Linked DNA regions of Coturnix japonica. The protein of the gene in region 1 binds, or shares a complex with, the protein of each later gene. Links are inferred from orthologs where the notes say so. Each region holds a gene or a part of one and is shown in the gene's direction. Other genes may lie near its edges. The genes, in order: LATS1 and WWC1.

Region 1 (3,808 bases):
TCCTGCCAGTAACTATACTGGCAGCAGCCAGCAGATGCTACAGGAAATACGAGAGAGCCTCAGGAATTTACCAAAACCCTCAGATGCTGCTAAAGCTGATCTCAGCATGGGGAAGATGTCATCTGAAGATCCTCGACAAGGTCGAAATCCCCCCAAATTTGTAACATATCATAAAGTTTTGCAAGAGATAAGAAACTCGCTGCTGCCCTTTGCAAATGAAACTACTTCAGCTGTCAAAGGAACGTCAGAAGTTAATCGACAAATGCTGCAAGACTTACAAGCTGCTGGCTTTGATGAGGTGAAGTATTTAATGTTCAGGCTTTAGTGTTCTAAAAACTGTCAGAGTGTGTTGGATGAGGTGTTGGTCATGGAATGTTTAAACAGCATATGATGGGCAAAATAGCTTTGAAATCTGGCAGAGTTCTAATTAGAACTTAATGAAGCTGGGATGAAGAAGGGGAACAGATTTAAAGAGGCATTTTTCATTTTTTTGCACCATTTTCAGTGTGTTCTTACATGGTAGGGGTTGTTTTAATTCTGTAAATCGTTTTAGAGAGAGGTGGACACTTCAGAACATGGATTTTGCCTTTGATACTCAACAGGATTTTAAATTGTGCACAACTAAAATACGCTGATAGTATGGCCATCCTAAAGTGATAGGCAATAGCACGTATTTCAGGAACAAATTTTAATGGCCTTCTCACATCTGTTATTAGAAAGCCAGTGAGGGAAAAATGTTCTGTGATGCTTTGGTATTCACAGGGAGGTTAGGTTAAGGGGAGCGAATATCTCCAAAGCTACGGACAACATTTCTCTGTAGTTAATCAGCACTTGAAAGGGATACTGGAAGAATTTCATGCAAAAAGTTGTCTGTTGACATAAATAGCCTCTGCATCAGTACCGTACACTAGGCACGCTCCCAAAACATCTAAAGTATTCACAGACAAAGTCTGATTTGGAATGAGGTTGGTGATTTCCATTCGGTCTTTGGTTGGATCGTTGCTTAGCCAGGCACTTACTACAGACTGGTTAATGGTGCTGTGGGAAAGATAGGCAGTACTTCTTCCTCCTAAAAGAAAATAGGGAAGACAGGCAGATCAGTTTATAAAGAAGGGGAACATTTCTCCACTGTTTACAATTAGAAGTTACAAACAATCAAGCAGTCCTTATGAGTGTGAAATGTAACTATTAAGTCAGTATCGTATCATCAACTAAAATCCCACACAACACGAAGGGATCTGGTTTCATTCAGGAACAGTTCTCCAGCCGTGACTTTGAAGTTTACAAGAAGGTAAATTCATAATTCTACTATCATGGCCTCAAGTTGCGCCAGGGCAAGTTTAGGTTGGATATTAGGAAGAACTTCTTTACAGAAAGGGTGGTTAGGTACTGGAATAGGCTCCCCAGAGAGGTGGTTGAATCGCCATCCCTGGATGTGTTTAAGAGCCGTTTGGATGTGGTACTCGGGGATATGATTTAGTGGAAGGTTTTTAGAGTTAGGGTACTGGTTAGGCTGCGGTTGGACTTGATGATCTTTTCCAACCTGGGTAATTCTGTCAATTGGCATTTCCTCAGTAATGTCCCAGAATCAGGTGCTGCTTGTGGAAAAAAATGCACTTTCCTCCGGCTTGCCCAAATGCAAAGATTAAGCTGGATTTGCAGTAAGAATGGAAGGGTTTTATAATGACAAATGATTTTATAATGATTTGTTCCTTATCTGTGGTTTGCTGCTGGAGTGGTTTTGGTTTTTACAATAGATTAGCTCTCGTATCCATTTTTACAGAATGGGTCTCCAGTCAGTTTCACAAGCTGTGGGATGGTTTGTGGCTGGATAGTAAACTAGAAAACCATCTCAAGTTGGTATTTCTGTTGGAGCCTTTGTGTCTTGAAGCCTTTTGCTCTCCAACCTTTTGTTCTTGGATGCAATCAAGTTGAAATGTTGCAGGTGTAAGTGTCTCATGAAGAAGCTGTGAGATCAAATGTTGTAACTTCTTGATCTAGCAATGTACACCTGATCTGTAAGCATCAGGGCTATCTTGTTTTATATATATATATGTGTGTGTGTGTGTGTATGTATACTTTTCTGTTTTGTTCATTTTGTTATCATTTCTGAAGGCTGCGTATTTTGTACATTTGCAGTGCCAAAAACATACAGATGTAATGGAAGTATAAATGTGGGTTTGAATTTGAAATTGATACTGACCTCCTCCCTTCTGAGCCCTCCTCCCTTCCGAGCCCTTTTGGATTTCCCATTGATTTCACTGGCAGATGAATCATAGAATGGCTTGGCCTGGGAGGGGACCATAAAGATCATCCAGTTCCAGCCCTCCTGCCATATACTGCTGTAATTTGGTGACTTGTTCGAAAATAATGTGAACTGAAATGATGGCTTTGGTATGACAAAGTATGGCCATAACAGATCACTGGAAGGCAGAGCGGTTAATTAAAGGGAGTCACTCTGTATATTTTTTTCACATTCTAAGTCAACTGCAAAATACCATTCAATAAAAATGGGAGAGGAGTGCCTGACTGTTTCGATCGCCTGTTTCTTGACCTCAGTCTCATTCAAGTCCAGAGAAACACCGCGGATCTATGATGCATTTTCCATTGACAAACCTGGGATTGCTCATCTGATCAAAGCTTTTCTTTGGATCTCTTGAGGACGCAGCAAATCCCCACCACAAAAGTAACAGGATTTCTGATGATACTGTGATATTTACTAGTGAAAAATACTTGAGGAGAAGCTAAAGGATATTTGTTGATATTCCAGGTTGAAGAAAAATGAGCAAATGCCAAAATACTGAAACACATCTGAATATCTTTTATAGAATAAATTAAGTTAGGTGGGAGCTCTAGCTGTTATCTGAGTAATGCATATAGCAAATAAATACCTAGACAGACAAACTATAAGAATAGCATGGTGACACAGTTAATATCAGAATATAGTTGTTTTTTCAGAAGATGCAGGCTGTTAATTTCTTTGGAGGATCTGTTGTGGAGAAAACATTGTCATCTTATATTTAAGATGATCGAGAGAAGTCATTATGTACTTTTGTAAAATTACTGGAGGATATTTGGCTAAATTCTTGTGATTTTTATTATTCTTGCCATTTTGAGTAACTTTTTGTATTTAATTTTCCCTGTAGGATATGGTTATACAAGCCCTCAGACAAACTAACAACCGTAGTATAGAAGCAGCCATCGAATTTATTAGTAAAATGAGCTACCAGGATCCTCGTCGGGAGCAGATGGTTGCAGCTGCAGCAAGACCTGTAAATGCAGGTATGAAACCACCAGGTAGGTGCATCTGTGGCACTTCAACTCATTAACTGTGTTCTTACTGGTGAAAAATACAAAATAGCAAATTAGAACCTAGCACTCTCTGTCGTGTGCTCAGAGTAGAAGAGAGGAGGTGCTGAGATACAGGATTTTGCTTTGAAGATTATTTGTGAAGTGTATAATAGAATTCTTCTGAAACATGAGTGTCTTTGGTGTGAATTTAAGACTTGTTTTTAAAATATCTGATTGCTTTTAGCATTTTGTCTAAGTATTAGAAGCATGGAATCACCAAGGTTGGAAAAGATCTCCAAGATCATCCAGTCCACCCATCACCAATATTTCCTTCTAACCTGTGTCCCTCAGTACAATGCCTAAACAATATCCTTGTATATCCTTTTGCAAGGCCAGGTTGGACGGGGCCCTGGGCAATCTGGGCAATCTGATCTAGTAAATGTGTGTGTTTGGTGGCCCTGCCAGGCAGGGGGGTTGGAACTACATGATCCCTGAGGTCCCTTCCAACCCGGGTCAT
Region 2 (4,313 bases), on another chromosome or scaffold:
GACTTAATTTTGCTACTCTGCAGGATACCTCTGCAGAAGGAAACTAAAGCAAAGCACCACTTGTGATATTCCTTTCTGGGGACACATTTGCAGGGGAAGCACTCGGAAGGACAAGGCTCACTACCCAGCTCCTCTGTGTTAATACGTGCATCATTGGGGTACTCTTAAACAACATTTGGAACTGGTTCAGTGATGCAGTTGATGCTTGGAGACCATTTATCCCAATCTGTAGTGTCCTGACTTCCGCTGACATTTGTTCAGGGCTGAAGTCAGGCTTCTGCTGCAGAGCTTGAGGCAAGGACTGAGAAAGCAATGCTGAAGTGGTGAAAACACCACGGGAGAGAGTTGTGTGCCAGCTTCTGGAGAGAGGCAGGAGAACACAGCCAACGTATGACCCCTCAGCTGGTAGGGTTTACAGTGGAAGTGGCAGTTCAGTCATCAGGAGGTGGCAGATAGCAAACCATTACACTGCCTGTGCTGTTACAGCAGCTCAGCAGCTTCGCTATTGGAGAAACTATATGTACAGGCATTTTATATCCTCAGACGATGGCTCCTGGCAGGTTCCAGCCTAATTTTATTATTGAGCATGGAAATCTGCTGCAGCCCAGCTCTCTGTGCTGTTGCAATCAGGCACACACACTGTGCTTGGTTAAGAGAAGAAATCATAGAACTGAAATCAGAATGTCAAGAAACATCGCCTAATGCTATAAAGCAGTACATCACATAAACCAGGCCTTCCCACCAGTCAAAAATTCCTATCAGAAGTAGAAAGAAGTCTCCCTCTTGCTTCTGTGAGCTGTGAGGTGCCGCCCCCACCTTAACGCGTTCGGTGATACTTCGGACCGGACCCCGCGCGGCCGCAGCCCGTGGGCGGCGATCGGGGCGCGCAGCTGTGGGGCTGTACGTCCGTGCCAGGCCCCGGCACGCCGTGATTGCGCGACTGACGGACAGCGCGGGGCGACCCGTCGTGCTGTGCCGGGTGGACCGAGAAAGACGACACGGGGCGCTCCCTCAGGTCAGTGGAAGCACGGCCGAGCCGATTTGTGCCATGTAAAAGTGACGTTCAGAACATGGCGGGCCGCCCCCCGCCCCGCGGACACGCCCCCGTCCCGGCTCCGCTGAACCTCCGCCCCTCCAGCAGGGGGCGCTGCCCGCAACACCGGGGCGAGGCGGGGCGGTGCCGCGGGGCGGTGCTCCCGCTCGGGGGCGGCCCGAGGCGGCGTGGCCGGGAGGGGCCGGTCCCGGTCCCGGCGCTGCTCGTTCCGTCGGCTGTCCCGCCCCGCCCCGCCCCGCCGGGTCCCGCCCCCCCTCCCGGCCCCGCCCCCGCCGCGGGTCCGGCATGTGAGCAGCCGCCGCCGCCGCCCGGGGCGCTTCTCTGCGCGGCTGGGCCGTTGCGGCCCCGCTCCGCAGCGCTCCGCTCCTCGCCGCCCGCCCGGCCCGGCCCCGTCCCGGGCTCGGCCCCCGCCGCGGTGCGGGGCGCTGCATGGGGCGGCGCGGCCGGAGCTGGAGACGATGCCGCGGAAGGAGCTGCCGCTGCCCGCGGGCTGGGAGGAGGCGAGGGACTACGACGGGAAAGTCTTTTACATCGACCACAACACCAAGCAGACCAGCTGGATCGACCCCCGGGACAGGTGGGCGATGTTGGGGCGGGGTCGGGCTCGGCGCTCTGTCCGACGTGCGGCCCCGCTGCGGGGCTCGGCGCCCGGCCCGGCCTCTTTGCGCCGTTCCGCCTTGGGCCGGGCCCGCCCTCACCTGCGCCGTGTCCGTCCTCCTTCGGCCCCAGAGCGGCCGGACCCGCGGCGTGTCCCTCCGGGCTGCGCTGCCGTGAGCGGCTGCCGCACGGAGCCCGTTTGCAGGGCGCGGGTCGGGCGGTGCCGCGGTGCTCTGAGTTCAGTTCCGCGCGGGTCGCCGCCTCCCGGGACGCTCGGTTGTGCTCTGTGTGTTCCCCGTGGGTTCTTTCCCGGTGTTGTTCACTTTGAAGAACGCGGGGATCGAAGCGAACCGCCCCGCGCTCGGCCGCGTCCCGACGGCTCTTTGTCCCTCGCCGTGCCGAGCAGGCGCGGGTTGTTGGGCGCTGCGGGGTCCTGGTAACCCCACGATTTCCGCCTCAGGTGCTGCACAGCGCGGCTCCGTGTCGGGAATCCCTGGCTCACAACTCACACATCGGCCCGGACGAGCTGCATTCCCAAGCACTGAACGTGGTGTGCTCTGGGTGCACCTTACAGGCTTACCCCCAACCCCCGTCGTTAAGTATTCCCGCAGCCCACTGGTTTCCCCCCTGCTCAGTCCCTGCTCTCTGAGGGGCTCCCGTTGGGGATCCCACGTGTGATGCGGCGCTGTGCCTTATCCCAGTGCTGCGTAGCTCAGCTTGTGTTGCAAGGCAGCGAGTTGTGCGGTTTTACAGGGTTTTAAGGAGTGTTCTGCATTCCAGCAGTAATCCTCGTGTATCCCGGTGACAAACGTGTAACCTGTTGGACTGCTGAACGTTTGGAGCACGCTTTGAAATGATGTTTCAGTGAAGCAATTTGAAGAGTCGAGGGAGAGTGTTTGTGCCATGGTGTGGCTTTTAACCTTGATAAAATTTGTTATAAGCTTAAATTGGAGATACTTTCTCGGCATCTTTATTTTTGGTGAAGATAAGTGAGAGCTGTTAGGACTGATAGTAGTTAATAGCTGTTCTGATGTGTCTGTGGTTGTGAGTCAGAGGCAGAAGCAGCTGAAGATGCCTTATCCACGCAGAGCTGAGTGCTCAGTGCTGTTAGAGGAGAGCATTCACCACCGACAGGCCCTATCACATGACGTGTTTGTTGTGCACATAGCAATGCACCTGAATACACATGGCCCCGACGAGCTTTGCTTCTGAGTCACCTTCCAGCAGCAAACCAGGAACTCATTACAGGCTGTTAGGCGCTGCTCCTGCCTCAGAACACCAATGTGGTTGGAACCTGTCACCTGGGGGACCACGTGTTTGAATGAGTTTGAGACATGGGCTGCTGTACTTGCAAGAAAAAGTTTCCTTTTCAGCTGATGACAGACAGCTCCGTGTGGACAACAGGTGATGGGAGTTTCTGAGCAGCTCAGACTGTCCCTGCGGTGGTAGGGTTGGCTTTAGGTGCTGTGCATCTGATGGTGTGTGTTCTGTGTTTCTCTGCCTGCAAGTTGTGTGTGAAGTAGCTGCAGCTGAGAGGTGCTGCAGTGCTCCCTGTGCTCTGCTTATGTGTGCTGTCTTTGATCCAGGAGGAAGCAGTAGATACTGGGAAGCATGGCTGTAAAACTGCAGACTTCAGGGAAGCGGGGCAGGGTTTATGTTTGAAGGCTCGTTCTGAACCCCATTGCCTCTCTATGGTGAGATCTCGGTGTGACTGTGCCCTCAGAATGGTCAGTTTATTCAGTGAGCAACAGCTGGTGGCTAAGGAAAGGGCATGCAGGTTTTAAACCTCCATAAGTCTTTCATTCTAGCTTAATTTAGTGGAAAAAGCCATGAGCAGGGATACCATGTAGCTTCAGGGCACAGGCTTGCCCATTGTTTGTGCGATAGCAGCTGGTGACAGGTTTGCACTTGGGTTGGCACTGTGATCGCTGCAGGTTTGCCTGCTCTCCTGTAGCTCGCTGCACCCATTCTTCAGATGGGCTGTTGGTTAGAAGGGCCATTGCACTTCAAGTGGGGCAAAGTCACAGCAGTCCTGGGTGAGTCACTGTCCTGTGTGATGCTCAGACAGCTTGGCCAGGGCCGCTGTGTGCCTCCTGCCTTGCATCACATAGGGCTGTTCCAGGTGAGGAGTCCTGGGGAGCGTGTGGATTTTAGAGCGTTTAGGGAAATCATCCAGAGATGAATCATGGGAGGGAGTTGGTAATGTAACCATTGCTGTACCTGTGCTACAGTGTAACCGAGGGTTTGGGTATCCTGTAGGCAGGGTTTCCTGTTAAGAAGCTGTGAGGCACTTCTGGTGGCCAGATGGAAAAAAAAAAAAAAAAAATCTTGTGTTCTCTATATAAAACAATGCAGAAATAACTGACTTTTTTTCTAGTCACAAATTTGTCCTGAGTTAGGTAATTCAGGACTTGGAGGCAGTGTGGTGGGTGACCCAGCCTTACTGAGCGGGGAGAAAAGTCAGTTTGTTATTCCTATTGTAGAAGCAAGCATGATTTTCCAGGCATCCACCAGCATGTGGTAAAGCATATTGGAGTGCTGTCCCAGCTGCTTCCTTCACGCAGGGATGCACCTGCTCTGTAAGCTGCTGTGCTGGATGGCAGATCAGAGTAAGAGCCTGTCTCAGAAATATCAGCCCTGGCTGCTGTCTGACTTACAGTGA

Evidence for each region.
Region 2: the proteins of LATS1 (region 1) and WWC1 are in contact, whole or in part, in a crystal structure (PDB 6J68), measured with the Mus musculus proteins. The link is inferred for Coturnix japonica from reciprocal best matches to the Homo sapiens genes LATS1 and WWC1. Residues at the interface, in NP_034820.1 of Mus musculus: Ala546, Glu547, Ala548, Pro549, Ser550, Tyr551, Gly553, Pro554, Pro555, Pro556, Pro557, Tyr558, Leu562, Leu563; in NP_740749.1 of Mus musculus: Asp17, Tyr23, Ile25, Asp26, His27, Arg30, Thr31, Thr32, Ser33, Trp34, Asp64, Val67, Tyr70, Ile72, Asp73, His74, Lys77, Thr78, Thr79, Gln80, Ile81.

What each region holds. Positions count from the first base shown.
Region 1 is NC_029518.1:43,382,604-43,386,411, reverse strand, and holds part of LATS1 (serine/threonine-protein kinase LATS1), read left to right. Parts: coding exon 1-298; intron 299-3,146; coding exon 3,147-3,297; intron 3,298-3,808. UniProt on the Homo sapiens protein: Negative regulator of YAP1 in the Hippo signaling pathway that plays a pivotal role in organ size control and tumor suppression by restricting proliferation and promoting apoptosis.
Region 2 is NC_029528.1:7,344,265-7,348,577, reverse strand, and holds the start of WWC1 (protein KIBRA), read left to right. Parts: upstream 1-1,430; 5' UTR 1,431-1,512; coding exon 1,513-1,631; intron 1,632-4,313. UniProt on the Homo sapiens protein: Regulator of the Hippo signaling pathway, also known as the Salvador-Warts-Hippo (SWH) pathway.